Regions from separate parts of the Mus musculus genome. Here all the other regions are reported to be linked to region 1. The links are microRNA targets in miRTarBase. Many come from high-throughput screens and were not tested one by one. Region 1 holds a microRNA gene; each other region holds the end of a gene's coding sequence. Distances are between the middles of the regions.
The links. Region 1 holds the annotated microRNA mmu-miR-692 (AUCUCUUUGAGCGCCUCACUC, at 2,353-2,373, opposite strand). A microRNA usually pairs through its seed, bases 2 to 8, with sites in the 3' UTR of a target mRNA and lowers its output. Matches are read on the target gene's strand: a 7mer-m8 pairs with bases 2 to 8, a 7mer-A1 pairs with bases 2 to 7 and ends in A, and an 8mer does both.

Region 2: miRTarBase lists Slc7a13 as a target of mmu-miR-692. Seed matches in the 3' UTR shown: 7mer-m8 at 1,235-1,241.
Region 3: the mRNA of Nhlrc2 is a reported target of mmu-miR-692. Seed matches in the 3' UTR shown: 7mer-m8 at 3,994-4,000.
Region 4: the mRNA of Ppp6r1 is a reported target of mmu-miR-692. Seed matches in the 3' UTR shown: 7mer-A1 at 1,057-1,063 and 7mer-m8 at 1,114-1,120.
Region 5: miRTarBase lists Pirt as a target of mmu-miR-692. Seed matches in the 3' UTR shown: 7mer-A1 at 1,238-1,244, 7mer-m8 at 2,031-2,037, 8mer at 2,628-2,635, 8mer at 2,646-2,653 and 7mer-m8 at 2,652-2,658.
Region 6: miRTarBase lists Phactr1 as a target of mmu-miR-692. Seed matches in the 3' UTR shown: 7mer-m8 at 4,603-4,609 and 7mer-m8 at 4,591-4,597.

What each region holds. Positions count from the first base shown.
Region 1 is chr13:74,404,264-74,409,493 of GRCm38, reverse strand. Mir692-3 (microRNA 692-3) reads right to left here and starts at 2,429; the gene lies at 2,321-2,429. Gm41004 (a long non-coding RNA gene) reads left to right here. Exons shown (of 4, transcript XR_873675.2): 4 at 408-508. It also overlaps the pseudogene Ftl1-ps1.
Region 2 is chr4:19,840,709-19,845,938 of GRCm38, forward strand. Slc7a13 (solute carrier family 7, (cationic amino acid transporter, y+ system) member 13) reads left to right here. Exons shown (of 4, transcript NM_028746.3): 4 at 632-1,505. The coding sequence ends at 883. Among named protein-coding and RNA genes, the nearest start is that of Slc7a13, 25 kb to the left of the region's middle.
Region 3 is chr19:56,596,800-56,602,029 of GRCm38, reverse strand. Nhlrc2 (NHL repeat containing 2) reads right to left here. Exons shown (of 11, transcript NM_025811.3): 11 at 3,184-4,774. The coding sequence ends at 4,518. Among named protein-coding and RNA genes, the nearest start is that of Nhlrc2, 51 kb to the right of the region's middle.
Region 4 is chr7:4,627,889-4,633,118 of GRCm38, reverse strand. It overlaps Ppp6r1 (protein phosphatase 6, regulatory subunit 1), which reads left to right. Exons shown (of 24, transcript NM_172894.2): 21 at 1-60; 22 at 520-630; 23 at 722-778; 24 at 875-1,624. The coding sequence ends at 878. It overlaps Tmem86b (transmembrane protein 86B), which reads left to right and starts at 2,637. Exons shown (of 3, transcript NM_023440.3): 1 at 2,637-2,897; 2 at 3,317-3,563; 3 at 4,366-5,079. The coding sequence starts at 2,847. The coding sequence ends at 4,748.
Region 5 is chr11:66,925,505-66,930,734 of GRCm38, forward strand. Pirt (phosphoinositide-interacting regulator of transient receptor potential channels) reads left to right here. Exons shown (of 2, transcript NM_178656.3): 2 at 335-3,196. The coding sequence starts at 361. The coding sequence ends at 768. All of the region lies in intron 3 of Gm12298 (predicted gene 12298), which reads right to left. Among named protein-coding and RNA genes, the nearest start is that of Pirt, 16 kb to the left of the region's middle.
Region 6 is chr13:43,134,687-43,139,916 of GRCm38, reverse strand. Phactr1 (phosphatase and actin regulator 1) reads right to left here. Exons shown (of 14, transcript NM_001302635.1): 14 at 1,391-4,743. The coding sequence ends at 4,728. Among named protein-coding and RNA genes, the nearest start is that of Gm15813, 15 kb to the right of the region's middle.

The sequences.
Region 1 (5,230 bases):
GATTATTTTATGATATTGGAGATGACTGGAACTTGCAAAAGCTTTACCACATTGATTACATTCATAAGGTTTCTCTCCAGTATGTGTTCTTTTATGTCTTTGGAGTTTACCGGGTCTTGCAAAAGCTTTACCACATTGATTACATTCATGTTTCTCTTCAGTATGGGTTCTTTTATGATATTGGAGACAACTGGGTCTTGCAAAGGCTTAACCACACTGATTACATTCATAGGGTTTCCCTCCACTATGACTTCTTACATGCCTGCAACGATAATTGGCACACGTGAAAGCCTTACTGTATTAATTACTCTGATCAATCATTCCATCAATATGAATTACTTTTACAGTTTGGTCTAATAATAAAGAAGAATCATATCTTAAGTTTTTATCATTTTGTATATTCACAGTGTTCTCACTCATTATGGGTTGTTTGCCTCTTTGAAAATACTGTACCCAGAAGATGTTCCAACATGTAATAAGGACACATGCTCCACTATGTTCATAGCAGCCTTATTTATAATAGCCAGAAGCTGGAAAGAAACCAGATGTCCCTCAACAGAGGTATGGATACAAAAAATGTGGTACATTTACACAATGGAGTACTACTCAGCTATTAAAAACAATGAATTTATGAAATTCTTAGACAAATGAATGGATCTGGAGGATATCATCTTGAGTGAGGAAACCCAATCACAAAAGAACACACATGATATGTACCCACTGGTGAGTGGATATTAGCCCAGAAGCTCAGAATCCTTCTTAGGACGGGGAACAAAATACCCATGGAAGGAGTTACAGAGACAAAGTTCAGAACAGAGCCTGAAGGAACAACCATCCAGAGACTGCCCTACTTGGGGATCCACTCCATAAACAACCACCAAACCCAGTCACTAGGCAGATGCCAAAAACAGCCTGCTGACAGGAGCCTGATATAGCTGTCTCCTGAGGGGTTCTGCCAGTGCCTGGCAAATACAGAAGTGGGTGCTCACAATCATCTACTGGACAGAGCACAAGGTCCCCAATGAAAGAGCTAGAGAAAGTACACAAGGAGCTGAAGGGGTCTGAAGCCCCAATATGAACCAGTACCCCCAGAGCTCCTTGGAACTAAACCACCAATCAAAGAAAACACATGGCGGAACTTGTGGCTCTAGCTGCATATGTAGCATAGGATGGCCTAGTCGGTCATTAATGGGAGGAGAGACTCTAGGTCCTGTGAAGGTTCTATGCCCAGTATAGCAGAATGCCAGGACCAGGAATGGGAGTGGGTGGGTTGGGGAGTAGGGGGAGGGAGGAGGTGATAGGGAATTTTTTGGGGGGGAACTAGAAAAGGGGATAACATTTGAAATGTAAGTAAAGAAAATATCTAACAAAGAAAAAATGAAAGAAAATGCTGTGATGGTAAGAGTATTATTACATGACTCACATTTATAACATCCTTTTTCTATATGAGATTTCTATATGATGTATTTCATATATCTGAAGAAAAATGAAACAACTGAGAGCTTTAAAACATTGATTTTACTCATAATTTTTCCTGTAGTGTGAATCACACCACATTTGCACTGTGAACCAGGACAAACAGAAGAATTTCCAAATTTCCATTAGCCATAGGGATTTTCTGCAGTATGACTTTGGTATGTTTTCACTAAAGTCAGAAAACCAATTAATTTGCAAACTTCTATCATATTCAGATAGTCTACCAAAGGCAGAAAACTATATAACTTCTAATTGTTCTGAAACAGAAAGATGTTCTTTGCTTCTTTCAACATCCCTATGCTCACAAGGCTTTTACCCATTGTGACACTTGATATACCCATTAGAAGAAGAATAACAAATGAAAGGTTTCCACATTGCATTCACAAAATTTGAATTTTTGTTCCTTTTAGATATGTGGATTAAGGTTTTTCCACAACAACAATCTTGACTCTCATAAACTGACCTCTCAATAAATTTAGCAATGAGTCTGCAAGAATATGAGTATTACCAACTTTACCATGGACTATTTGTTTATTAAAAGGTTTTGGATATATACTTATCACTATTCAATGTGCAACTTCTAAATATCATGAGACTATACAGATTGGTAGTTCCACAGCATAGCTCTAATGGAGCTACAAATAAATAAAGTTATCTCTTTTTTTTTTTTTTTTTTTTTTTTTGTTTTTTTGTTTTTTTTGCTGTCTCAAAAAGCTTTATTTTTACTTGGTCCAAGACTTGACAGAGGCTCCAGGGCGGTTACAAAGCTGCCTAGTGGCTTGAGAGGTTCATTCAGGTGGAGGTCCCAGGGCGGGCTGGTGCAGAGCAGAGGGGGGAGCCCCTTGGAAGGCACAGAGGCCTCCTAGTCGTGCTTGAGAGTGAGGCGCTCAAAGAGATACTCGCCCAGAGATCCCTGGGGCGCGCCAGTCTGCGCTGGTTGTGGCCCTGCCACCCTGCGGAGGTTGGTCAGATGGTTGCCCATCTTCTTGATGAGTTTCACCTCCTTATCCAGATAGTGGCTTTCCAGGAAGTCACAGAGATGAGGGTCCGCGCGGGCAGAACCCAGGGCATGCAGATCCAAGAGGGCCTGATTCAGGTTCTTCTCCATGGCCAAGGCAGCTTCCATGGCCTCCTGGGTTTTACCCCATTCATCTTGAGATGGCTTCTGCACATCCTGGAAGAGTGCACGGCCCCCGCGATCGTTCTGAAACTCGAGGAGACGCTCCGCGCCCTCGCGCTTCTCCTCGGCCAATTCGCGGAAGAAGTGGCCTACGCCCTCCAGAGCCACGTCATCCCGATCAAAAAAGAAGCCCAGAGAGAGGTAGGTGTAGGAGGCCCGCAGGTGCAAGTTGACCAGGCGGTTCACGGCAGCTTCCACCTCGGTGGAATAATTCTGACGAATCTGAGAGGTCATGGCTGATCCGGAGTAGGAGCTAACCGCGAAGAGACGGTGCAGACTGGTCCTAGGAGCCGAAGGCAGCGAGGAGATGGTCCCGGAGGCTGCGACTGGAGAGACTTGTAAAGGCGGCTGGAAGCGAGTACAGTGGGAATCCCCGGGTCTGTTCCGTTCAAACACTGTTGAAGCAAGACACAGATCCACGGGACCTCCAAGGCGCTGCTCCTAAAGTTATCTCTTAAGGTATTGATTGTTACCTTGCCCTCTTTCCTAGAGGAACGCCTTGTAAACACAAATCAGGTAAATGACATTGAGGTACATGGATCTGTGAGAATATTCTAATCATAGCCACACTTAAAAGGACTGATACGTTACATTCTTGCTTATCTTTAGAGCTTCCAGAATATATTAAAATTTCCTCAGAGGCATATTTGTATCAGCTTGCACATGAGAATTACCTTCCATGTCTTCTAGAACTTTGACAATGTTCTTCAATATGATGGTCTTCCCAATTGTAGCCTAAAACACAATACCAGAAAATGAGTGACATGGTTTTGGAAATTAGGCAAAATTCAAGCTACTGTGAATTTTCCCAGTATTGAACCTCATTTTTCATCTCAATTTTCCTTGTTCTCTACTGAAATAACAAAATATCATTAATAACCAAGAAACATTTATTTCCTTATTTAGGAAAGGAAAAGAGAATTCACAGTCTTACTTATAGTAGTGAGCTTCCAGTAGGTCTCCAGCATCACATCTTTGTAGAGACTTCTGGGAAGGATCCAGCAAATCGCACTCTTCCTCAGTGAAGTTCACACGCACATCATCACAAGTCACTGCATCCTAAAATATCCCATACATGTGTACAATACAAAGCATGATACTGACATCACTGAAAAGTAAATGGATGCTTCCCTGACAATATATTGATATAATTCTGGTGCTTCCTCCACTTATTTCCCGACACAGAAGCTGTAATCTAATCACCATGTCATTTTAGAAGGAATTTGAATGATAAGGTTCACCTGTGTTGCTTCTGAACCCTTTGAATAGGATATAGCCTTGCAAGAGAAATGCCAAGTAAGAGAGAGAGATGCAGGGGCAAACAGATCAGTAGTACTGATCACACATCTGAGAAATTGTATGAACAACTACTAACTACGTAAGTGATAGACAAACTGGGTGTTTTTGCTCATGTCATTAATCCCAGAGACACAGGCAGGTGTATGTCATGGAGCTGGATGCTAGCATGGTCTATGCAACATGTTCCAGGACAGCAAAAGTTACATATTAAGATTCTCACTTCCCTGAAAATATCAACCATGGAAACATACAAACAAACAAACAAAACCTCACAGTTTTTTACTGAAGTTCCTACAAAGAATAATACATTCACTGCAGTTCTGTATTTATCTTGCAGAAATATGAAGTACACCAGTTTAAACTGCAACATTAATAAAATTTTACTAACAGGGAATGCATGTTTAAACAGTTACAAATGGACAGATGAAAATACTAGTAATATAAATGTTGATCATAAATAAGCAACATAGGACAGGAGAGATAGCTCAGCAGTGGAAAGCTCTTGCTGGTCTTCCACATAATGGTGGTCAATTTCTAGCATATACATGGGACCAAAAACTACCCATTACTTCAAGATCAGGAGTTATGAAGCCATGTTCTGACAACAGTAAAGATGAGTCACACATGATATTCATATCCATACACACAGGCAAAATACTCCTATTTATTCAAAAATTTCAGAACAAACACAAGAGGTAGGCAGAACGTCATACACCTGCAATCCAATGACTCTAAAGGCTCGGGTAGTATTGATGTCACGAACCTATGCCATCGTGAGAAATAGAATATAACCTATAAATTTGGACAAATTTCAAAATTAAAGATGTGGATGAAGAACTGCACAAAAGCATATGCTTATTGTACAAACACATATAAGGTGGCTTATGTGGTTTCTACAAGTACTATCAGGACAGGACAGGCTTCACAGAGAAATTTTGTCTTGAAAAGCAAAAACAAAAAGAATAAAATTAAAAATATAAACCACCAGGCTTCAAAAATAGGTTAACATTGAATAACGAATGCTACTACAGTATCTTATGTGTTTTGGGGACAGAGTCCACATGCTGAATGTATGGGAGCAGGAGAAGAAAGCAGAAGGATCAGTTTCAACCACGACACAGTAGACACAAAGAATAAAATTTGTCCTGTCTAAAAGAAATGCAGGGGCAAAGCTGGAGTAGAGATGGAGTGGATGGCCAAGAAAAACTCACCCAATTAGAGACCTATCCCAAGGGCAAGCGCCATTCCATGACATTATTAAGGATACTCTGCTAT
Region 2 (5,230 bases), not on the chromosome of region 1:
TGGGCTACTTTGTGAAACCCTCGAGGGAAAAAAAAATCAAGAGTAATGTTGTAATATTAAGTGTGGGATGTTTATATTTCTAGCACAATCCTGGTACCAAGAATTAATCTTTAATATTTTGTCAAAACAAAAAATAATTTCAGACAAGGAATTTTCTGCCTTAATATATTCCTTTTTTAGTATGTGAAACTATAATCCGAATATTTAACTGTTGATATTAACTTGATTACCAAAGTAGTTTTTCTCTTAACTTGATCAGTGATTTGAAATATTGCCTATGGAAGATTACCCGGACCCCCACCCCCACCCCAGTGGGCCTAGACACTCCTTTTGAATAAGGTCATTCCACTGAGGCCTGCAGGTGTTCATACTAATCAGCATATGCTGAGGACCATCTCTACTCATGCAGAGTCCAAGCTTCTGATGCCCCCTCAATCAGCACCTTCTCTGAGAAATCTCCAGAATTTTCTTTCACTGTGACATCATGAGTCCTAAGACCATTGATCTAACTCAAAAGCTGACGTAGTCTGCTCTCTATCATCAGCTTCCCATTACTTTTACTTATGGGAATATTCAGCCACCACCTATGGATTTTCACATCTAACTACTTTCTCCAATTTTGTCTTTTCAGGTGTTTTTACCGTTCACATTCATAGCGTTGGGCATCACCCTGAGCTTGGTTTTGATCCCGCTTGTCAAGTCTCCAAAGTTGCATTATATCTATGTGTTCCTCTTCCTTCTCAGTGGGCTGGTGTTTTACGTGCCATTGATACACTTTAAAGTGAAGTTCGTTTGGTTTCAGAAGTTGACTTGCTATCTGCAGTTACTGTTTAATATTTGCATCCCTGATGTGTCTGATGACCACATACATGAAGAAAGTTGAGGAAGAATAGCCTTTGTAGCCATACTGTGTTCCAGATAAAGGTTAAGTGTAAGCTAAAATAGTAATGATGGCAATGCTATAAACTGAAATGGTATATAGAAAAGTACCCAGGAAATTCCTAGTTTTTAAAATATCAAAGGAAATGGCTGGGTAGATGACTGTGCTGTTAAGGGCACCAGATGTCCTTCCAGGGGACTGAAGTTCAATTCACAGGCCCCACTTAGAAGTTCATAACTATCTGTAATTCTAGTCACAGAGGATCCAATATCCTCTACTGGATTCTACCAGCACTGCATGCATCTGGAGTAGAGACATACATGTAGGCACCCATGCACATTTACAAGAAGAAAGAAAGAGAGAAAGAAAGAAAGAAAGAAAGAAAGAAAGAAAGAAAGAAAGAAAGGGAGAGGGAGAGAGGAAGGAAGGAAGGAAATAAGGAAAGAAGGAAGGAGGAAAGAAAGACAGTAAAGAAAGTATTTCACATAACTAAACTGTTTTTATTAAAAATAAAATTTCTAGCTTGTATAGCTTCATGTAGTAAGAATATCTTTCTCATTCTTCTGTTTATCTCATCGATTTTCTACTGAATGTATTCTTATAATAAAAGTTACTGATGGAAATTAAAAATTCTCTCAATAGTTTTTCTCTTTTAGTAGCATAAAGAAAACAAAAACAAACAAAAAACCCCCAAAACACAGGGGTAACAAAAGAAAAAACCCTAATCTGTATTTTCCTTGTTGTTTTTTGTTTATTTTGGAGAGAGGCTCTCACTCTACCCAAGCCAGCTTCGGCTCAGTGTACCTCTTGCCCTGCCTCCTTAGCACTGGATTTAGAGACGAGTCTGTTTCAGTTCCTGCCTTAGCTCCCCAATGAGGTGCTTTAACCTGTTACTTAGAATAAATCCCTTTCTTCTTCTAGTTGATTTTGGCCAGTGCTTTATCACAGCAACAGAGAAAACTAGTACAGATTAGTACACATACACATTTACCAACTTTTCACCTTTAACCCAAGCTATGTTAACCAGGAAAAGTGGTCAAGTCAAGTGTTCTTAGGGACTTCGTTAGTTACCTTTCCTGTTGTTATGATAAAATACCCTGACAAATGTAGTTAATAGGAGAAAGGGTTTATTTTGGCTAGTGCCAGAAGGACATAGTTCATTGGTCAGGAAGACAAGGCAGCAGGCAGGAAAGGCATGGTGGCAGGAGGAAGATGCTGGCTGTCACAGTCTGCTGTCCAGGAAGCAGAGTGTGAACAGCAGCCTGGTCATCTGATGCAGCCTCAAAGCTGGTTCCTATCAACCCACAGTATCCAGCAAGACGCTACCTTTTACAGGCTCCACCTGATTCCCAAGCGGTTCTTCCAGCTTGGAACCAGGCTTGCAAACATTTGAGCCTGCGGGGCCGCTTCCCACTCAAACCTCAACCAACGGTGATGAAAGTTAACAACCGTTCCCTTTAAAACCAGCTAAACACTCCTGAGTTGTGTTGGTGTCTTTCTTTTGGACTGGTTCTCACTGTGAACCCTAGGTTGTTCTCAGAACACTGCTGTCTCAGCTTCCCAAGGTTTGAGACTACAGTCATGAACCTAACTATAAATAGGCTTTCTCAAAGTGAAAATTAAATGAAATCATAGACTAAAATATAGTTAGTGACTGACACATGGTAAATGCCAAATATTATGTTAAACTAAAATCCTTATTTTATTTTATTTTATTTTATTTTATTTTATTGAGACAGGGTTTCTCTGTGTAGCTCTGGCTGTCCTGGAACTCACTTTGTAGACCAGGCTGGCCTTAAACTCAGAAATCTGCCTGCTTTTGCCTCCCAAGTGCTGGGATTAAAGGCATTCACCACCACACCCGGCTTATATTATTTTTTAAACAATCATATTTAACATGATTTAGCCTGTGGAGGTTATGCAAATTAGAGACCTTCACAAAGGTAGAAAAGAATGTTCTACAAAATCAAAAAAAAAAAAAAAACCAAAACAGGTGAATAGTAGATGTAGAACAAGCCTTTATCAAATGTCTGGGTCAAGTGAATGGATGAGAGAAGTCACATGTGTCAAGGGTATGGAGTGACGATTTATTATTCTAAATTGCTAGAAGAAACAGGGATAGTGCCCAAATGAATGCCGTGGAAAACTCAGCATCTTAAGATAGCATGGAGAATGCCAGGATATAAACTTTCCACAGAACACTGCATGTGTTCCTGCTGATAAAGGGCTCTGTTGTACCCTGGGAAGTCCCTGGAGCCCCTTGGAAAAAAGTTCTTTGCATTGGATTAATGTTAGGGCTTGTTTCACCTTGTCTGGAATTTTATCTAATAATATTACATATTTAACTAATATCAAGTTTCAATTTATGTAATATGCATTCAGTGCATTGCCATAAACAGAACTCATTAAAACAAACGAAATGTACCAGAACAAGTTGTTCCTCATAAAAGCCAGTGGGTTCTGTAATTCTCTTTCCTTTCTGAGTTCTCAAGGCTCTTACTCAGTCTAAACAGAATTCCACCTAGAATTTCATTGACTGCTGATTCCAATCTTATCACAACAGCTCTGTATTTATAAAGGAAAATGTATCACTGAAAGATAATATTTTCTTTTGCTCACAGGAAACATGCCCAGTGCTTTTCACTGAAAGATTCTGGCTTACATACTTTCTGACGTCACACCTGCCCTCAAAGCCCATCCTCCTTTTGAGGTTTTTAAAGGCTGGATGGCAAGTTCTGCAGATGTTGTACTTTACAAAGCAGAGCCCGACTGCTGTGAGATTATGTCTCCTGGAAATGGCAGGCAAGTTTCACCCATGATAGCTCAGCAACATGGCTCCCTTAACAAGACCTGAGCAAGTACAACAGCAATAGACAAGCCAATTAGAAGAGGGAACTCTCATGGAGTTCAATTCCCTAGATGAAGAACTATAGGCGACTAAGGGGTGCTAAGAACCAGACAAACAGTTTTCCCTAGGAAGACTCCCCTAATTATTATTTAATACGTACTCATCAGCTCTGAAATCATTTCTGTACCAGTAACAATAAAGAGATAGAATAGGTAGTATTTATATGTTCAGGCACACCCATCTGTCTGTCTGTCTGTCTATCATCTACCTACCTGTCTATTTATAAAGAAAGAGCTGCCATGATTTTGAAAAGGATCATGGGAGGCACAGTGGAGGGGCTGAAAGGAAGAAAGATCATACCACTACATTTTATTAAAACAAACAGTAGCTGGAATCACTGACATTTTCGATGCTTGGTCAGCAGAAAGTTACTTCAAATGACATAAAGCAATTACTGTATCTGTAGGAAGCCTCCTAGAAAGAAGTAAATGAGTTCTGTTTAAATGTTTTGAGCTGAAGGCTGAATCTTACAAGTAGGGCTTTGAAGGAGCTAATGGTGTAGATCCTTTTCTTGCTCTTCAGGAAACCTGTTGAAAGACTGTGGGCGCATGACTATGCTGAGAGGGAAGCCGTTCATGGAACACTGCTGTTAAAAAGGCACAGTCATTGAATGTGTCCCAAGGGTTCCCCCCCCCCATCTATCTTTCTCTCTCTCTCTCTCTCTCTCTCTCTCTCTCTCTCTCTCTCTCAAGGCTTTGCTATATTTCCCAGGGTCCTATGGTATAAGAAAGGGTACCCACTCTCTCCACTCAATGTTCAATGTGTTGTTGTTTTTAGTATGCTTTTAAATATTCATGAGATGGATAACTTATTCATAATGGTAAAATGTCCCTCTTTTACTTCTCAAACCACAGTCATCCAAATCTCACTTTTCAAGGAATTTTTTCCCCACATTTTCTTGAAAATTCCACAAGGTGAAATAAAAACCACAAGGTACATGATGTCACAGTGAGGACAGTGAGGACGGATCTTCTGAGGAAGCAGACCCTTCATCTGCATGTGTGGCAATGAAAGAATGTACCTGCCACGTCAAGGATGTTTAACCATAAAGGTGCACTCTGTCCAAGAGACAGCTCCCAAGATAAAGCTGCAGTTTTCCTTGGTACCGTGTAGCTGATACCTTGTCTACCCATTCTCTATATCTGCATCAGAAATAAGCAAACTGATAAATTATGAAATGTAGACAAACTGTCCCAGAAAACAATTATTCATTCCTCTTGTGTCCTGTTCTGACAGCGTCTTCTTCCTGGTCTGAAATTTGATAACTTGTATCTATGCATGCACGCATGCATGCGTGTGTGTGTGTGTGTGTGTGTGTGTGTGTGTGTGTGTGTGAGTGTGTGTGTGTGTGCGTGTGGTGTATAGGTATGTATCACCATGTTATAATCAATTGCTCCATCTTATATGTTTATTTGTAACACTGCCACCTGGAATGCTCTGTC
Region 3 (5,230 bases), not on the chromosome of region 1:
ATGGCGAAAGCTATCCTAGCAGAGCCTGCAGGCAGGGCTGTGTCCTATTCTGGGCCAGCCTGTGTGCTCATAGCGGCCACCCGAGAGCCAAGGCGCCAGCCTACACAAGCCGGCACAGGCAGGAGACAAGGCTGATTAGCCACAGAATGCCACCTCGCTTGATTACCAAGCCTCTAACTTTAACGACCATTCTGTCTATTACCCTAACGCAAAGAAACTGGAAAAAGGAAATTCTATTAAGCCAGGTTAAAACAGTGACTCAGGCGAGGGCTCATTCTTCATGTCGGCTTTGAAACACGGGTGGAAAAAGCAATCTTGGTGATTATCACGCAGGTCTGCCTCAAGGTATGTGACTCTGTCACACTGTCATTTCTGACCCATGTAGTGCGCTGCTCACTGAACCATAGTACTGCTTCACGACCACACTACTTCACAATGGACAGACGCTGCACTGGGATGCCCCTAAAAACCACCACTGGCACACGCAGGACATCTTGTCTCACACTGCCACGCTGATTTCAGGAACAACTCCTGAGTCACCAGGGAGCCTGCACAGCAGACCATTAAGGCTGCAGGAAGGCAGAGGACTTTATTCCTCTACACCTCACTTGGTTCACAAAACACACTGTGTCCGATATGGGTAGACGTCTCCAGGCCTGCACCAGCCATGCTCGTTATGGTGGACTGGCTGCTGGGACAGTCCTGTTGAGCTAACTGGGATGTCTACACATACTCCTGCCAAGAAAAAACTGTGGATAGTCACTGAAATTAAGGGCACAGAAAATCCTCTGGGAACCAATGATTATATAGACCATTCCAAGGCCCAGATGATAAGAATCTATGAGAAGTCATGTAAGTTGAATGACTTTAATGAATTTAAATGAATTTTACAAACACGCATTCCCAGGGCTCCTGGAATCCTCTGGACTGATAAGTTACTACATGAAGGAATGAAATATGTGACCTTGCAAGTTTGGGAGACGACAGAGTAGGCAGTGGGGCAGACAGCTGTCCACTTCCTCTGTGTACACTCTTAGTGCTGATGTGACTGTTCAAGGAGGAGGGACTCTATCCTAAGGCTGTTGTGAGGATTGCGTGTGGTCAGCACACAGAAGGGAAACTCCCAGCAGGGAGCGAGAACTCAATGAAGGTAAGCCTCCTTCTGCCCTCGTCTGAAGGCCGGGGGGTAGGTCCCCACTTTCCACACTGTAGGGAGCCTCGGTTAAGCTCTGCTGCTGTCAGCCAGCACCCACATACTAGGTCCTGTTCTAGGCACTGGACGCTACCCCAGGAGCTTCGTACCCAACATGCCGAAGCAGCTTCCTTCTCTGGAACATTCACACCTAGTCTGTAACGTTATTCTCAAGTACTTTGAAGACTGCAGAGGGCACCGCCCCAGGGTGAGAGCACCCACCAGGGCACGCAGGTTATAATCTGAAGATTCTTGTACAAGCTGTTAAGAGTGTGGTGTGTCTCCAGCTATGTCTGGATCCTCTATGGAAAAGCCGTATTCATTAAAGCTCCAGAAGGCCTTTTTAAATACTTCAATACAGTAGAGAGGTGCTTCTTTATAAACAATATTGTTTATGAAATGGTAATACATTCTACCATAAAGTGTTCTTTTTCTTCTCGAGCCCAGATTCTACTGGGACTGCTAACATGTCAAATGGTGGAGAAAGATTTTGCTTTAGAAACTGGAGTTGTAAAAAAAAAAAAAAGTCAAGCCCATGTCTGTGGCCATAAATTATTGTCATTATTAGAACTAAACTGATAAGTAGCAGTTCATAAATTACTCCCTGCTAAATGCCGTGGGAGCATTTTACTGAAGCCTGGCGGCAAGCCCAGGCTTGGTCCAGCAGCCCAGCTCTGCAGGGCAAGACACTGCTAGAGTCTATACTCCTGCCACTATACCATGCTAAACAATAAAACACCGTAATTATCCCTGTCCTCACCAACTACAATTTTAAAGGAAACTGGTAAATGAAAGGACTCTAAATAGACCCCCATCTTTGGTAACAGAAGTGGCTTTAGAAAAATTATTAGTGCTTACAATTCAGATTATTTTAGTATCTTTGAGAAGATTAGATTACTCTCTAAAGTACTGGCCATTGAGTATTCTCAGAGGTAGAATTTCAGTGAGACAGCACGGGCTTGCTCATTTAGAGCTTAGGTGACACGGCCCCTGCACGTGGCTTTATGTTACTGTTCACTACAAAACATAGCTTTTCGTGATTTCATTTTCCTCCTGAGGACTGAACCCAGGGCCTCTGCGCACGGCAAAGAACCATCTTCCAAATGAGTTAACAACTCTGATCTTTGCCAAGCCAGAGGCAAAGGCAGAAGCTGAAGACTTTTCCCTGGATGGAGAAAGACAGTCAGTTCCGCGTATGTGGAGAAACCATGGTTACACATGTTCATTAAGTCCTAGATTTCCCACACTGCAAAACAGAGGCCCACATAACCTATCTCAGTGGTGTGAGCCCCAAGGCAGACAGAGTTGTCTCAGGACAACTACAAGGCTCTCAGAGAGGACAGGAGACGCTGCAGCTCCAGAAGTGCTGTGACCAAGGTTTCCTCCTGGCAGACACTGTGTCAGTCCTGACCCTAGGAAAGCGCACTCTGCTCACTGAGCACCTTCTCCGTCCATCCCCACTAACATTCTGCTGTGACCAGCAGTGCAGAGAGGCAGGTGGGTGGGGTGTGCAGCCACCGAGATCCCCGCAGTCACTGAAGACTCAAGTAAGATCCTACCCAGGCAAAGGGAAAATCAAGGGAGTTAAAGAATATTTTGGGATTTTTAAGGTACATCAAACTACAGAATACATGCTTGTATTTTCAGAGTGAAAAATAATTTCCACACAAGCTAAACTGTATATACCCTGTTTTAGAGAGTGAAACTGTTTATGTCCTCAAACAGGAAATGACTGAACCAAAATATTCTCATCCCGTCCAACTGGAAATAAACGAGGAATCCAACAAATCAACGAGGGCTGCGGCGCTCTGAGGCCCTCCACAGACCACCAGCTCCAGGCTGGAGCTGCAGAGCCGCTGCCTTGGCTGGTTCTAGGTGCAAAGGTTTCTGAGGTAACCACGGGCAACTCTAAACAGGACCCCTCCCTTTCACGTTCGCCTTGCTCCTGAGAAACAGCATTTCTAAGTTAATAACGGAAGTCAGCAAGTTTTCACTTCAGATTTTTTTTTTTTTTTAGTTAACTGAACAATAAAACAAGCAAATGTTACCTATCAAAAACTACTGCAAAAATTAACTAATAAATAGGTAGACTATGCTTAAATGCTTATTAAATTTATAGGTGGGGCTCAGACAATGCTTCTGAAACCTTGTAGTCTTAGTAAAACACATGTCCACTCAGTTTTAGAAGAGCAAGGCTCTTAAACAGTTATGATGATAATCTATGATAATTCAAGTTAACAATGAAAACCAAACCTCTCCAGGATCCCTTCCAGTGCTGTTTCTTACGGGGTTAAAGAAAACACATACCAAAACAGTATCAGTAAATCACTGTGTGTTTCAGCCCTAATATTTTAAATGAAAGTGTATTAGTATAACTATACCCTGAAAATAGCAAATTGAAGGTTTACATGTGATTTTTCAAAATATCAGAATTAATGATCATAATTTAAATTCTAAATATGGGAACCAAAACAGTAACAAAAATCTCAAACCCAACAATTCTGTTACTTAACTCTTAAAACTGACATCTAAATTTCCAAAATAGCATGATGCTCATGACAGCCAGCCTAGCCACTACAATAACCCATCACACACAGCAACACAGCAGTCTCCACCCACACCCAGGTCAGCATGCCTCTGGGAGCCAGGCATTGCCTGCTAGGAATTATGCTCATTAAATACAGTTAAAGGTAGGTCTGCATGCCTTTAGAAATTCTATATTTTTCTTTTTTATATAAAGTTATAAGGCATTAATAATAGAATGTTAAAACAAATAATTTATAATAAAAATAGATTAAAACTCTCTTTTAAAAATACCTCAAGTGAGAAAAATCACCGGAGGTAAGTAACTACTCATACACGCTGAGTTTGTGCCGAGTGAATACTTTCTGTTCTGGCTTTAAGCAGACCTTAGACACTAAACAGCAGGTATCCTGACACAAAGGCGCACAGCTTAGGCCCATCTCAAGTTACTGGAAATTTACACACGAATGGATAACCACTACTGATAAAGGCAGGTTATTTAAACTATCTGGCATGATTAGTTTTGACTACAAATATAATACTCTCTGATATAGCATGGACTGTTGCTTTTAAAACAAATAACAGCAAAGCTTACAGTGCCGTGGTAAAATGATGGTCAATGACTTGGCTAGCACACAGCTAAAATGAAGAAATTTGTTTAGAATTAAAATACTAATAAGGAGCACAGCTTTATTTTGGTATCAGTTGTTACAACTGAGCAATGGGTTACTATAATGCTTTTTCCCTAAGCGACGAATGGCAGGATGGACAGGGCCTGTGCTGAGGGCTGCTGGCCAGCCTTCTAGAATGCGTATGCGAGCTCTACAGGAGCTGCACAAGCTGGCTGGGTGCTGGTTATCTGCAAAGGCTGCCTGAACACGACTCCCTTCATCATACATGCGCTGCTGTCTGCACTGCAGTAATAAAGAAACACGACGACAGACACCACAGCTTCCAGTGACAAGCAATGGGTAGGAATCTGCAGGGAAATCGCCGGCTGATTGGAAATATTCTCTATGTCTCCAGATGGGGTCTGTTCTTGAAGTAGCCATTCATTGCCTAGAAAACAGGAGAGAATATTAAGACTATAAAAAAAAAAAATACAAGAGGCCGAGGCACAGCGATGGGCAAAGTGTGAGAGACAGAATTCAGACACCTAGAACTCACGTAAGTGCTGGGTCTATGTGACGCCCATCTGAAATCCCCACACGGGAGTTGGGACAGGGAATCCCCACAGCTGTCAAAGTATTCAGAGCAGTGAGCTCGGGGTTACTGAGACATCATTTCTCCGTATTTTAGGTGGAGAGAGATCAAAGAAGACACATGGCATTAACCACATGCATGCTCAAACATGTGAATGTCCATGTATACATACATGTGTGCTCATACATGTGGACACACTCACATGCATAATACATACACATATATTGAAAAGACACAGGTAGGAAACTTCTAAGGGAAAGAGCCTACATCAGCGCACGTTTGGTGCGAGCCCGAGTGCACACTCTGCTCTGA
Region 4 (5,230 bases), not on the chromosome of region 1:
TGTTGCGGATGTCCAGGCCACACTGCATGGGATGCGCTCTGCCCCCAGCTCCTTGGACAGGTGACCATTGATGTCCCATCTCCTGGAGGGGGGTAGGGGAAGCCCAGCCTCCTTGCCGAGGTGGGTGCTGGGCTCTTGTCCCTACTGTCCTTAGCACTAAGCTCTACCTTGAGCTCCTGTGTCCTTGTATCCATTCCTTTTTGTAATTAAATGTTTTGGACAATGGCACCTAAAAGGGCTCTTGTGATCCCAGAGTTAAGAACAGCTTCCAAGAGGATCAGGGACCACGAGAAGCAGGACTGTGCATAGCCCCAGAAGCGTATCCTGCAGGGGGATGACCACTGAGAGGAGCTGGGTATAAGTTCTGGTTTCCCCCTGTGGCTCTGCAGCCCCACTATGCTCTGCCATCAGTATGCTCATAGGCTTTTTTGTTCTGAGATTTCTTTGTTACCCAGCCGTGGCCTCAGGCAGGCAGTGATATGGAATATCTAACAGTATTCAAATTGATCTCTCTTACAGTGCAACCAGAGACCCCTCTACCTCTGTCCCAGACTTCAAGGCCCACCAGTCTCCTCAGACCATGGAGGGGAAAAGGAGCCCAGAACATTTGGGGCTTCCCCAAAGCCAGAGGTGAGTTAGTCTCTCTGGGTGGTGTTGGGTGGATGAAGCAGGGCTAATAGGGCAAGAAGTAACCTCCATGTTTCCTTTTCTCCCCTAACAGTGCCCTTGAGATGCCCAATGGCTCTACCCCAGGAGGGCCTATTTCATCGGGTTCCCAGTGAGTGTGGCAATAGCCTTGGGTGGGTCAGCAAGATGAGGTCACTGGACCCATGTCCATGGTCCATGTGACACATGTGTTTCTCTCTGTTTCCAGGTAGCTGCCTGGTGACAGTGGTGGCCAAATCCTCTGTCCTCCCTGTGGAATCCCTCTGTGGGGCAGGATGAGTCCTTTGGTGGCCCTCTACTCTATTGTCCCACACCCTACATTCTCTCCTCTGGACTCCCAAGGAGGCTGGTGCCAGGGAGATGCCCTCACCCACCCCCATTTGCACTGAGAAGAGAAACTATGGAGTTTTGTCTCCAAGAATAAAGATAGAGAGTCACATAGAAAGGAAAGAGAGAGAGAGAGCGAGAGAGAGAGAGAAGTATATTATATATTATATATATATATATATATATATATATATATATATATATATATATATATATATATATATATATACATATACATATATATGTTGAGGGAGGAGTAAGAAAGAAAGCCAGGACAATAACTGGGCCAGCAGCTCTGAAGCACACCTTCCCCGTCTGTCCCAGTAGGGGCTGGCGCTGGGGTTGGAGGCCGCTGGCCTGTGCTCTGGTGCAGATGCTCTTACCCAGCTTCACTCAGGACCACCTTGGGGTGTAACAGAGGGTGTCATCCGGCCCCTGGCCCTGGGGAACATCCCTAGAGGCCCAGAATGGGGGTTGCTGGGTACCCCATGCCCTGAGGGTTCCAGCACTGCTGCCAAGTGGCCTTGTCCCAGCTCCCCCTGCCCCCCCCAAGGCTGGTGTGAGTGTGCAAGTATGTGTGCAGAGCTTGTGTTTCATACTGCAGATATAAATAAAGGAAGATAGCAGAACATTCCTGCTGTGGGACTGTGAGTTCTGGGACTCAGAGTTGGGTGAACTTGCTCTTCATAGCCTAGAGAGCTACATTCTCTTAGGACCACACTTGTGAGAGTGTGTGTGGGTGTAGGGGATGGGGAATACTTAGACATCAGGCAGAACATCAGGAGTTAGCACTCTGGGGCGCTCTCATCCTGATATGTGTACCTCCGTGGCCCTGTTCCAAAATGCAGATCAGTTAGGGCTGTGCTGACTCAGCTCTATCCTCTAACAGGCCTGCTAAAAGGAGCAAGAGGTCCCTGGACTTTGGAGCTGAGCGTCCTGCCATTACGGGGATAGGAGGCACCAGGCATGTGGTGGTGGCAGAGGCAGAGGCAGGTGGATCTGTGTGAGTTCAAGCCCAGCCATGTCTACAAACTGAGTTCCAGGACAGCCAGGGCTGGGCAGAGAAACCCTGTCTCAAAAACAAAGGTGTGGGGGCTGGTGAGATGGCTCAGTGGGTAAGAGCACCCGACTGCTCTTCCAAAGGTCAGGAGTTCAAATCCCAGCAACCACATGGTGGCTCACAACCATTCGTAACGAGATCTGACTCCCTCTTCTGGAGTGTCTGAGGACAGCGACAGTGTACTTACATATAATAAATAAATAAATCTAAAAAACCAAAAACAAAAAACCAAAGGTGTGGGAGAGATTAGGAGACAGGAAGCTCCCTTGAGAATGGACATACAATGAAGCATCCCTAAGGGGGATGGTTGAGGAACCTAGTAGTTTCTTGGCATCCAGTAGGTCCCTATCTTGTTCATGGGAAGGCTGCAGAACATGAGTGTACAGTGGTGTGGTCGTCCTTCCTTCCAGGGAATGTTTGAATGACTTCAGGCACAATGCAGGATTTATTTAACCAGTGTTTGTGGCAGGACCCCTGTTTTCCAGGGTTGGTTGTAGGGCTACCCCTCTGTGGAACTTTGCATTGTTCCTTATAATTGGCTGGGTGTGAGACAATGGGAGTTCCACTTTGGGGGAGGGGGCTCACTTTTGGAGGTGGTGGCCAGGTTTCTAAGTGCTGGGGGGTGGCCCTTGGTGCCTGATGGGTACCTTATCAGCAAGTGCCAGACAAGAGCAGGCCTTGCGTGAGCCCTGTTATCAGCCCCAGAGTCCACAGGACACTTGGGTTAATGTGTAACCACAAGACTTCCCTCTGCCCTCTGAAGCCACTGGCTCCTAAAGAGAAGCAACTCAGCATGGATGCTAGAAAAGAGGGGCTGCCCCTGGAGACACTCTTTTCAGACCAAGTGAGAACCTGTAAGGTGGGGATGGGCAGGTCTGGGAACATGGGCAGTACTGGGGCCTGTGATTCTCTATGCTTGGTGAGTTGGTGGGGATGCCCTGTCCTTCCAGGAGGCTGGGTTCTAAGGTATCGTGGTTTTGTCCTTGCAGGAGATAGGAATGAAAAGGTTCTCAAGGTGGCTAAAGATCCTAGTCCCGAAAGTCCAACCTGGACATGCTTGGGTCCTGGCATGAGGGTGGTGTGGGGGATGGCCGTTAAAATAGGTTCTCACTGGGTATCCTAGACAGGTTTTGAAATCAACAGCCTCCCGTTTCCACCTGCTAAGTACTGGAATTAGACATTTCCTACAGTGCCTTGCAGTGACCCCTCCCCCAGGACTGGCTGCGAATGGGAGGGAGGCTGAGAAGCTTCGCTCTCTTGAAGTACCCACAGGTCCGCAGGTGGCTGGCCCCCTTCATCCTTGCCTGCTCCCTTTACTTCCTCCTCTGGATTCCTGTGGACCAGCCATCTTGGGTCAGTGCCCTGATCAAGTGCCAGCCCATTCTCTGCCTGGTTGTGTTCCTGTGGGCTGTGGCCCCTGGTGGGAGCAGCACCTGGCTCCTGCAGGGAGCTCTTGTATGTTCTGCTGTGGGAGATGCCTGCCTCATCTGGCCTGAAGCTTTCTTTTATGGTGAGCAGGGGCTTCTATGACAACACACCTAGGGTTCTTGTGGAGTTGAGTCAGTACTGGGACACAGCTTTTCATTATATGGAGCCCTCCCTCCCTAGGTCCTCTGGGTTATCCAGAGGTGCCAGAAGGCAGTGATGGGTGACAGCATAGCTCACAGTTCAGCCAGGGGCTTGGAGTCAGACTGGTTGGAAGATGTGGGATTACCTGGTTGGAAGGGGTGGTGTGGAGAAAATTAAGGTGTAGCATGACTGAGGTGGGTGGGGGAGGTAAGGAGTCATTTTTGAGATGTCTATATATGAGGGCTGGTCTGAATGGCCTCAAATGTTGGATCCTCCTGCCTTAGTTTTCTCAAGGGCTAGGATTACAGGAATAAGGATATGTAGCTGTGTAGATGGGAAGTGTGGCCATCCTGGGCATGGAAAGTGCATGTGGAAAGGACCTGGGGTAATAGTGTATGAGTTACTTTGTCCAAATGGGCCAGTTTGGCTAGAGTAGGATGGGGAAAACAAGGGTATGGGGCTTCCCAGAACACGATTTGGAAAGACAGGTACTTGAGCAGAGCAAGCACATGATGCCATGCATCTTAAGGTTATCACCATTGCTTTGGGAACTGATTGAACACCCAAGGATAAGAAGAATTTGGAGACCCATCAAGAAGGAGTGCTATAATCAGCAGATCACGATGGAGCTGGTGCTTTGGGGGCACTGTTCATGTCTGGTTGTGGCCAAGACAACAGGGAGAAGCAGGAGGCCAATTGGTGCCCACCCTACCTCACTGAGTTCTCATCCCTCTCTTCTTCAGGCACGGCAGCCTTCTCTGTTGCCCACTTATTCTACCTCGGGGCTTTTGGCCTGACCCCACTGCAGCCCGGATTGCTGCTGTGCACCACCTTGGCCTCTCTGACATACTACAGCTTCCTCCTGCTACACCTTGAGCAGGGCATGGTCTTGCCCGTGATGGCCTATGGGCTGATCTTGAACTCCATGCTGTGGCGCAGCCTTGTCTGGGGTGGAAGTGCTAGCTGGGGTGCTGTGCTCTTTACATTCTCAGATGGTGTGCTGGCCTGGGACACTTTTGTCTACTCTTTACCTTTTGCCCGCCTAGTGACCATGAGCACCTACTATGCAGCCCAGCTCCTCCTCATCCTGTCGGCTCTCAGGAACCCGGGGCTCAAAACCCACTAATGCAGGCCTCAGACAGCCTGGTATCCCCTCCCATAGGGACCTTGGCTTTCCACACTGACCCAGCCTGGCAAGTGAATGCTTCCAGTCATATGCTGACAGATATGTGGCCATCTTTAACATCTGTATACTGTTGGCAGAATTTCAGATCTACCACTGATTTCAAACTGCCTTCCCTGGCTTCTTCTGGATTCCAGGACCCTCAACCCAACCCATATCCTGTCTTCCCCTCCCCATGCCCACTTCCTTTTCCCAGTCAGCCTTTCCTATCCACCTGCCCCTTCACACTGCTCCAGATCTGGTTCTAGCTGTTTAAGTAAAATGAGTGTTGGAACATCAGTGTCACCATTATTTGGGAGGAATGTATAGGGGGATGATGACAGTTCTAACAGCAAGCATGGATTTAGGGGAAAAAAAATGATTTAGGTGTGAGTCTTAGGGTTTCTATTCCTGGATAAAACATCATGACCAAGAAGCAAGTTGGG
Region 5 (5,230 bases), not on the chromosome of region 1:
GGAAGCTCCCAGGACTCTCTTGTCTCTACTCCAGCTTCTACCCCAATATACTACCATGCCTACTTTTTAAGTAGGTGCTGGGGATCCAAATGCAAGCTCCCACACTTGCATGGCAAGCTCTTTACCCACTGAGCCATCTTCCCTGACTGGGTTGCCTTCCTGTGGTGGTGATTTTTATTTATGCAGAGTTTACCTGGGTTTACCATTAATTTCCACATGTATGTACTGTATTCCCCTCTACTGAGAGCCAGGCTGGAGAAGGACATAGGGTTCAGGAAGGATCTGAAAGGATTTCTTTGGCTTCACCATCCTTCCTAATTGTCGCCAATACTAGGTGCCCATTCTTGAGCAGCCACAACAATGGAGGTGCTCCCCAAGGCCCTGGAGGTAGACGAGAGGTCTCCAGAGTCCAAGGACCTGCTGCCCAGCCAGACAGCCAGCTCCCTGTGCATCAGTTCCAGAAGTGAGTCTGTCTGGACCACCACACCCAAAAGCAACTGGGAAATCTACCACAAGCCCATCATCATCATGTCAGTGGGAGCTGCCATTCTGCTCTTTGGCGTGGCCATCACCTGTGTGGCCTACATCTTGGAAGAGAAGCATAAAGTTGTGCAAGTGCTCAGGATGATAGGGCCTGCCTTCCTGTCCCTGGGACTCATGATGCTGGTGTGTGGGCTGGTGTGGGTCCCCATAATCAAAAAGAAGCAGAAGCAAAGGCAGAAGTCCAACTTCTTCCAAAGCCTCAAGTTCTTCCTCCTGAACCGCTGATGACTGGTTGTCCAGAAGATCTGCTAACCAATAAGCAGCCTCCTACCTTCTCTTCGGGTACCACAAAGTTGATCCAGGCAAACCCTCCTCTTGGCCCTGTGGACAGGATAGAGCTCAGGGCTTCACCCTCATACAACCTAGCAGCATTGCTGACTGAGTCTCACCTGGTTTCCATAGCTGTGGATGCTGTGCCCTTGGATACTTTCATTACCCTCATCCCTGGCACCTGCATTCAGCCATCAGCCATCCCATTCTCTCTGCCAAGGGCAATGTGTGCATGCTAGGAAATTCTTTGGGGGTTGACTACATTCCCAAGGAGAACTTGTATGTTACGGTTGTGTGCCTGATCTTAGATTCCCATCTACATCCTTCTGGAACCAAAAGTGACCAAGCAGATAAGGCTGACTTCAGTCCCATTGGGTTTGACAGCCTTGGCTCCCTCCTTGGATGGGACATTGACTAACATTACAAGAGAAAGGATATGTCTCATGTATCACACATTCCAAAATCTGGACAGTGATGGGGCTGGGGGTGAGGGAAACACTGTCTAGAGTAAACCATTCCTCTGGGAGTAGTCTGGAACTTATACAGTGAAGGAAGTTAGCTCCTAAATATATGATATTGGCACAAGAGGCAATATGCAGGCTAAGAGGTATCAACACTTCCCCTTGATCCTCCAATGCGCTTCTTGCAGAATGCCTTTATATTAGCAATTAGCCAAGAACAAATGCTCTTTGTTCTAACTTCCTTCCCCACCACATCTCTGCGTCTACACAGCTCCAGAACAGAAGGACGGGAGGCCACAGATGTGACCTGTAAGATCATCTCCTTCTCCTGTCAATCAAGACCTAACCTGAAATTGAATGCCATGTCCGACTCACGCTGCATGGGGTTTTAGAGATAGGTTCACTGGAAAAAAGGAAATCTCAGCCTCCCTCCTCCCTGTTCCTCCCTACCAAACAAGCAAGTATTTATTGAGTTTCCTTCTCTAGGCCTAGGTTGGGAACAGCCAGACCCAGTCTCTGATGTCATCTTATTTCCAAAAGTGAAAGAGGGAAAAACATGGCCAAGCCAACTGGCAATACTCCATACTGAGTTCTTAGGGTGGCCATGGGAACACATGGATCTAACAAATGTACAGGAAGATAGATTTCTGGAGACCATGTTCACCCCTTCTGAATATGAAGGGGAAGGAAGTGTTTGGAATGAGCAAGATGTGCAAGGTAGTCAGCAACTGCCTTGCATGTGGAGAAGCTAAGGGGAAAGAGACAGGGTGGGGTTAGGATTCCGCATAGCTCCCGGATGCTATTCCATCCTCTCTTGCCTACTTCCCCCCTGCTTCCCCAGGTACCTTACATCCAGCTACTCCTTGGTACACTGCAGGCTTCTGGGGTCAATAGGGACTGGGAGGGGCATCTCCAGAGGGCCTAACAAGTAGATATAACCCAAGAGGTAAGTACCCTCAAAACTTCATTATAGTCACCAAGACACCTTTAGGCAAAAGACCGGGCACCTATAAGAAATTTCCAAAGCTGTTCCAGGCAAGGCCAGGCCAGAGAGCAGAGGAAGGTACCTAGTAGCAAAGTGAATGACAAGAGCTGCATTGGTTCAGGTTGACTCTTCATCCTTAACCTTTGGGCATTTGGGAACACTATGGCAAACAACCTCCAACAGGTCTCCAGATATCTCAACCATTCACAGTACTTCTATAGGCAGTTAGAATCCACCACCTTTGTTCCTGTTGCATTGTGGGACATTCCTCGGAGGAAGTATTTGTTTTGTGGAATCAACACACACACACACACACACACACAGAGAGAGAGAGAGAGAGAGAGAGAGAGAGAGAGAGAGAGAGAAAGAAAGAGAAAGAAAGAAAGAAAGAGAAAGAGACTGACTCCCTAACTAAAAAGTCAGAGTTTGGGAAGCCTGTGGCCTTTCAAAGCTCACTTAAGAATATCATGTTCCTCATTAAGACTCACATCATCGAGCCCAGGCCCTGCAGTCCACCCATTCCCTGAATACAGGCAGCTCAGGACCAACCCTGGGGTTGTTGAAATACTGCCTAGTGCTTCCACGAATGTCTAATGCCTCCATGACAGGGCTTTCAGACCACTCCTTTCTCCTGACATGGAAGGACAGCCCTGGGGTGGAGCCTCTCAATCTTCTGTGCCTTCATGAAAGGGAACACACAGATGAGCTCACAGCCAGCTCACTTGGAATCCGCACCCCATGCACCTCATTGTCCTGAGAGCTCATTGTCTGGGCACAGCTGTGGGAAGACCTTTGCAGATCTCACTTTCAAGTATGTCTCAACAGAAGGGAGTTTGGGGATAATCACGATGCCAGGAAATCTTCAAGTTCTAGACATCTTTCATAGCCACATCAGTACCTGTTCCCCAACCCCTGCCCCTCAAGGTAAGTACTTAGCAAACAAAATCAAAGAGCCTTTGAGAAAATATCCCAAATACTGGTTAACTCCCCCGGCCTTGCACCAAACTCCCCACAAAAGTGATAGTCAGGAAGTGAGCAGAGTCACACCCAACATCTTGGAAAATTTTGCCAAAGACCATTGCCTCATGAAAACTGGGGTGGGGATAACCTGTGAGTGCAGCCGGGTTGGATGCCGTGTCTCTGCAACAAAGCATTCTGGGTAGTGATTTCAGTCATCTCAGAAGACAAGAGCAACATCCACAGCACCATCCCACCGGACTGTATTACGGGCTTCTGTCGCTCTTCTGTTTTGGAGAATTTAATCTAACCCAACGCCTAATGGAATCAATGTCGTATTGAACTGTATTCTGTTTAAAAGTACCTGCCATGTTCATTCATTCTTCTCTACCAGGCATTCCAAGGCTGCCTTCACCCCTGCCCACTTCTAAATTACACCCTCATTGCTACATTTCCTTTCTCAAGAGGGCTGCCAGGGAGAATAAAAACAGAGCCAGTTTCATGCATGGCTCCTCAGAAGCATCCTTGCGACTACTCTGAGACGATGGTGGTGCAGAGGGATCCCACAAGTCCAATACAGAGACCCAGAACTTAACCTGAAGAAAGAACATTCCAGAATGAATCTGTGGTCTGGATGAAGCAAGCAGAGACTAGGTTCAGGAGAGATGCTCCAAATGCAAATCAAAGTAGGAAAGGATCCATTTGGAGCTTACTCTCCTCTCCCTCCCTAGAAGCCTATCTGTGCTCAGCCTTCGTGAGGACAGCTGTCCATGCCTGAGACTTCATTCTGACAGTCCCAGGCAGCCTCAGAGACTCTGCTGGCCCAAGCCAGAACTTTCACTCTGTAACCAAGCTCCTTAGGTCTGCAGGAAGGACTTCTGTCTGAGAAGGACTATGCTCTGTTTTCCTACAACCTGCAGGTACAAATGAGAGGAACCCCAGGCCACCTCATAATCTAGGTCTTATACTCTAAGGGGAAGACAGGTTCACTAAAGGGTACCCCCAAATGAGACCATCTCCCACTGCCCTGCAGGTTCCTCTGGAAAAGCCACTAAAGTGACTGTAAAGAGGGGGGAGGGGAGTCATTGTCAATGTCCTTCAATCAGTCAGTCACACATACTAAGCTGGAATTGTCTTCAATAAATGACAAAACACCAGTGGGTTCAGAAGTGTGTTTTTCCTGGGCTGCATTGGGAACCGTTTGCAGCCTCAGCTGCACCAGTGACCTCTCAGGCTCTGACCCCTCCTTTGTTTTGTTCCCTTCTTCACACATCTCTAGCTAACATTTCCATTACCCAAGCCCACAGCCAAACCTGGATGCATAATGAAAGCTCTGACCTCAAAAAAAGATCAGGATAATCCCCAGAGAAGAAAGACAAGGGAATCCTCAGGTATAACACAATATAATCATGGGAGAGTGGGGGGAGGGGTGCTCGGATAATGGTTGCCAAGCCAGCCTCTGGAATACAGATACACCAGGTTTTCACATCAAACTTAATGGGAGAAGGACCAGGCAAGAGAAAAGAGGGCTGCTCACAGGCTAGTAGGAGAAGTTAATGTCCACCTTGACCTCTGGTCCTGCTCTATTTTGCAGTCTTTCTCTGAAACCCATCCCTCTCAGCCTTCAAATTCCGACATAGGTGCATGTTTGGAACATATGCTCCGGGTTGGGGGATCAAGGGCTCCCCACACTTCTGCCTGTCTACACTGTTCAGAAATCCAACCTTCAACACACCAGCATTATGGTTTTGCCCTTTTCTGGAACTTTCCCTTCACCAGTCCCCATCTTTTCTTTACTTTTCTCTAGGCCTGGAGAGAGAGAGAGAGAGAGAGAGAGAGAGAGAGAGAGAGAGAGAGAGAGAGAGAGAGAGAGAGAGCTCAGTGGTTAAAAATACTGGCTGCTCTTCAAAAAGACCCCAGTTCAATCCCCAGTACCCATATGGTGGCTCAAAACCGTCTGTAACTCTAGTCCCAGGGGATCCAATGCCCTCTTCTGGCCTCTGTAGGCCCTATG
Region 6 (5,230 bases), 31 Mb from region 1:
TACCCACTCAGGGGTCCCGGACATGGCAAGCGGCCTGTTTTCTGAAGCCTGTGCCGTAAGTGTGGTTCCTAGCCCAGCTGTAGCACAGGTCCTCGGAGATTGCCCAACACAGGACTCCAGCTGCATCTAGACTTACTGAGTGCCTGTGAGTCAAGAAGACTTACAGGTGATTCCTCGACAAAGCTCAATGCAGGCAGCCCCTTGCTGCGCTTTCCCCCTAGAGCCGCCTTCTCACATCACTGGGTCGAGAACAGGAGACCCATCCATCAGCTTCGCACATGTAAGCAGCAGTTCTCTGTTTCCCTAGCACCTTCTGATGAAAACAGGTCATGTGAGATAATGCTTGCTCTTTTGGGCAAATACCAAGTCCTCAAGAACCAGGTGCATATATACAGTTGTCTGTCTGTCTGTGGAAGTCCAGGGTCATTCCCAACTCAAATCTGGGGATGTTCAAGTCCCTAGTATAAAATGGTTACATTATTTACCTGTGATTTTTGGACATTGTCTAAGTTAGGGTTTTACTGCTATGAACAGACACCACGACCAAAGCAAGTCTTATTAAGGACAACGTTTAATTGGGTCTGGCTTACTAGTTCAGAGGTTCAGTCCATTATCATCAAGGTGGGGGCATGGCAGCATCTAGACAGGCATGGTGCAGGAGGAGCTGAGAGTTTTACATCTTCATCTGAAGGCTGCTAGGAGAAGATTGGCTTCCAGGCAGCTAGGGTGAGTGTTTTAAGTCCATGACCACAGTGACACACCTACTCCAACAAGGCCACACCTCCTCATAGTGCCACCCCCTGGGCCAAGCACATTCAAAACATCACAGACATCCTATCCTCTCTTATGCTTGATGCAATCTATTTGTGGGGTCAGTAGGCACCATACCGTATGATAAGAGAAGTATGCATTCAGTACAGATGGGATCTCCCCCATATTTTTTATCCAAAAGTGGTTGAATCTTCAGATATAGAGGGTCCACAGTTTTCAAAAGGCAAAGAAATATACAGCTTTTGTTCGGATATAGAGGTACCCCAAAGACCACCCCCCAATGCTATAAAGCTATCTAATATCTGTACTGCCAAGACCCCTCAGTGACTTACCTAAAGGCTAATTTATATTCACTCTCCCCAGACTGTCAGGGACAGAGGGTTGGGAGAGTTTTGAAATGTCAAAAATGGCTGAAGATATAAATGTTCTAGAAAGTTCATCTATGTGCGGCAATGCTGCCACCCCCCATCCCCACCCTGAGTACCGTCAGAAACATGAGCTTTCTGGTCTCCCCAGAATCTGGTGACCACCCTCCCTCCCTCTTTGACAATCCTTCCCCAGCCCAACTATATTTGGTGGTCCCTGCTGCCAGGCGAGAAAACAACACAGGAGTCAAAGCTGTTTTTTTTTTTTTTAAACTTTTTTTTTTTGGTTTGTTTTTAAAGAAACTGCATACATCATCAGAGAGAAACAATAATTTAAATACCATGCAGTTTCTGTATATACAAAACCTAGGCCACAGAGATCCAGTTTCATTTATAGTCTATGTACAGTATCTTCTTCATACGGCCGTCATCTGTTAAGTTAGAACCCGGGAGGGCGCGGGAGCGACGGTCACCACAATCACTCCTATACAAAGACGAACTATGTACAGACACCAGGAAGCAATTGGAGAAAGCAACCTACTTAGAGACTCATGGGAGGAAGAAGTCACCAAAGGTGACACCTGCCCACTGGCCGTGCGCAGGGAGAACCTGGGATCCCATTCATCGGAGTGACACATCACGATGCTCATTCCAAAAGTACGCATACATGTTCATAAGCAGGAGAAAAAGAAACTAGGAGTATCTCCTCACACTGACCCTGGAGTCGTTTGGTTTCTCTACGGGCAGAAAGGCTCCCGTTCTAAAAACCTGGCAGGGCCTTGAAGGGGTCTGGGGAATGAAGTGATCAGGATTTTGGAAGAGCCAGTTTATTTATGGCAGGCTCTTCTGTCGGGGAAGCGGACAGGGATGGGGGTGGGGGTCCAGCAGTGCCTGATTTTGAGAGAAAAAAAAAAAACGTAAGATCTGACACATTTAGTTTTCTCCTTTCTTGCTAACCCGAACTCCATGGTACTCAGATGGGACTGTCTAGGCTCAAGATGAACTCACTTGAAAACTGCAGCTTTTCCAGAAAGGGATGTCTCAAGCCAACTCCCTTGCCTTCTATTTCCCCCTAATTAATGTCAAATTGTCAACTTTGGAAACTACTCAAGTCACTTCAGTTGTCCTCACAAAGTGGGGGAAGTGTGTAGTTACAGCTCCCTGAAGCCTGAGCCCAGGTTTTCAGGAGAGCAGAAGTCCCATCCTACAGCTGGGGAGGCTGCTGAGCCTGGCTAAGAACCACTTATCGTGGCCTTGAGATAGCCCAGCCCCAAAGGTGGTAACCTTTTAGGAGCATGAGAGGCACACCCCTAACTCTGAGCAAGTGACTTCTGCAAAAGGGTACCCCGAAGGAAGCCATGTGGGCATCCTGTCCAGTTTCTTCCATATGTAAAGAGGTGGGCCATCTCAGGGCAAGCTGGCAGGGAACAAGGAAGGCTGCTGGCTGGCAGCAGAGACGGAGGTGAGTTTGGGATTTCTGTTCCCAGGCAATCAGAAGGGCCCTAGAACCAAGGCCGGTGGGGAAGCCATGGGCTTTTGTGGGAGGAGTTCTTTAGGACTCTTCCTGGTTGGGGAAGGCCTGTCAGGCCAGGCCACCTCAGCAGCCTGCAGCACAGCTGCTAATTAGAGGAAGTTCAGACCTCAGGCCTGCAGGGCAGGGACCTCCACCTAGAACATGTGCCTATCCTTCACCCTAGGGAAGGTCAAGGAAAGATTTCTGCATCTTTCCTCCTACCATGTACACATTCAAAAGTCAGTAAGCCTTTTGGGAAGACCATATTTACAGCCATGTTAAAATCCCCACCACATTTCCCCTGAATACCTCTCTTGACATTCAAATAATGATGATGATGATGACAGCGATGACAGAAAGACCCAGTCATGGTGTTGTCTTTGGTCTGGACAGAGGTGTGCCCCATCCAGACGGTACCAGGATAGCAGCAGCTGCATGGCGCTACCTGTAGGGCTAATCTAAGCTTTCCTGTAACTCTGGTTCCTGGGTTAGCAACTGGTCACGGAGCCATTAACGCTCCGGAGAATTGAATGGCCTTGTTTCGGCTGTATCCTAAAAGTACCATGGTCCCAACCAGTTTGACAAGGGGATAACTCCTTTGTGGTTGGTCAGGCTAGCCAGCTGGCATCTTTCTAAATGCCAGGTGTGTTACTTAGTGACACCGTAGTGACTCCGAAAGCTGGGCACACCACGGGGGTTGCGGCAGAAACCTTGCACCCAAGGGTCTGTGAGCTTGGTTAGGGAGAAAAACAGCCCTGTAGAAGACCGCCTTAGGATCTAGGGTGCCCTTCCCTCAGTACACACTCAACCTTTAGGGGGCCCTGTCAACAGGGTGCCTGGAGGCATATTCTGAGAGAGAGAGAGAGAGAGAGAGAGAGAGAGCAGGGTCTCTCTGGGTAAGTGGGGCAGTAAGGGACACTACAGGTAGTCATGGCTAGCAAAGTTTGACCCAGTGCTAGCCCTGCTGAGATGTGCATCTCTCTGCAGAAACTCTTCAGTTGCAAAGACAGAAGAGTGGAAGGCTCTGGAATGACAGTGGGATATTGGTCCCCTGCACTGGCCTCCATACACTGGTACTCAGAAGCTATCAACTACCAAGCCACATCACCACTGGCCCAGGTGTGCTACAGGGTCAAAGAAAACTGTGGCCCATGGGGTTGATGGCTCCCTGGTCAGTTCACACTCATGAATATCACAGGGAACCTTGGCAAGGGCATTAAAGCATTAGATCACCCATTGCCCTGGGCTTTGTGAACACAAACTGGTCAATGAATGTGAACTGAGCAGATGTCTACTATCCCTACCAGAGTCTTCTGGAAGGCAGTTCAGTTTGGGATGGGGGTCAAAGTGGACGCTCAGGTTTAGCCTCCTATGCCCACAGCACACATGGGTATGACTGAAGTGCCAACACAGGCTCCTCCAGGACAAATCTGAAGAGAAAGCATGTGTGTTTGTGTGTGCACATGTTCGTGCGTGGGTGTGCCTGTGTATGTGTGGAGGAGACTGAGAGGTCGTCACCCCCTTCCCAAGGGCCCCCAAAGCAGATGCCCCATCTGGAGCCCATGTGTCTGACCACGTCTAGAAGGACAGTTGGATTATGACTGTCACCCTAGCCATTCCCATGTCAAGCCCTGGGCTTCTTTGGACTCAGGCAACAGTCCCTTGTGAGGAAGGGGTTCACCGAAGACTGAACCAATGTGGTGCTTGCTGGGTCTGGATGGAGGGGACAAGGCGGTTTCTGGACAATCCTCAGGTAGGTCCCTGTCTCGGGGGGCCGGGTCACCTTTCTGTAGCAGAAGTGGTGCCAGCAATGCTGAGGAGTGCTCACCATGGTGTTCCTGCACACAGAATCCTGGCTGTGTTTCCTTTCCTTTCTTCTTCCTTTTTCCTTTCTTTCTTTCTTTCTTTCTTTCTTTCTTTCTTTCTTTCTTTCTTTCTTTCTCTCTTTCTTTCTCTCTTTTTTAAAAAAAGGCAGTTCGGATTTACATGGTAACGGGGAAGTGGACAGACGCCAGCACTTATGGTTCTTAGAAATTTATGTTTTGAAGACAGCAGAGCACTCAAGAGTAATCCCACTGTTAAGGTCGATGAAACCTGGGGAACAAGAAACGTTGTCAAGGCTCAGGGGATGTCAGAGGCCCAGACCCCACAACAGTGTTTTCCCATTCTCAGATACCCGGGCTGTGACAGTGATGCCGGTGTGACTTCCCACCCATGACACAAACACAGAGGGGTACCCCAAGTTCTCAAACTCCACAGAACTCATCTAGAGACCTAAGAGGGTTTAGTTTGGAGTCTTTGGAGGTCCAACCTGGGTGGCTGCACTGGGACTCCTGAATGGCAGCAAGATGGAGCTCCTAACCGTGTGTCTGAGTCGGACATCGATTACCCCTATTTCTGCACATGTTCTCCAAAGGAGTGATTAGAAAAGCCAGAGGCTTAGTCTCTAACTCGTCATGTACACATGCCATGTAGCTGTTTCCTTCTGTGGCTCATTTTTCCCAGGTGACATTAGAAGGGAATGCTTGGTAGAAGAGCACAGGGTGACAGAATGCTCTTTAGTGGTCCCGTGTGCTACTTT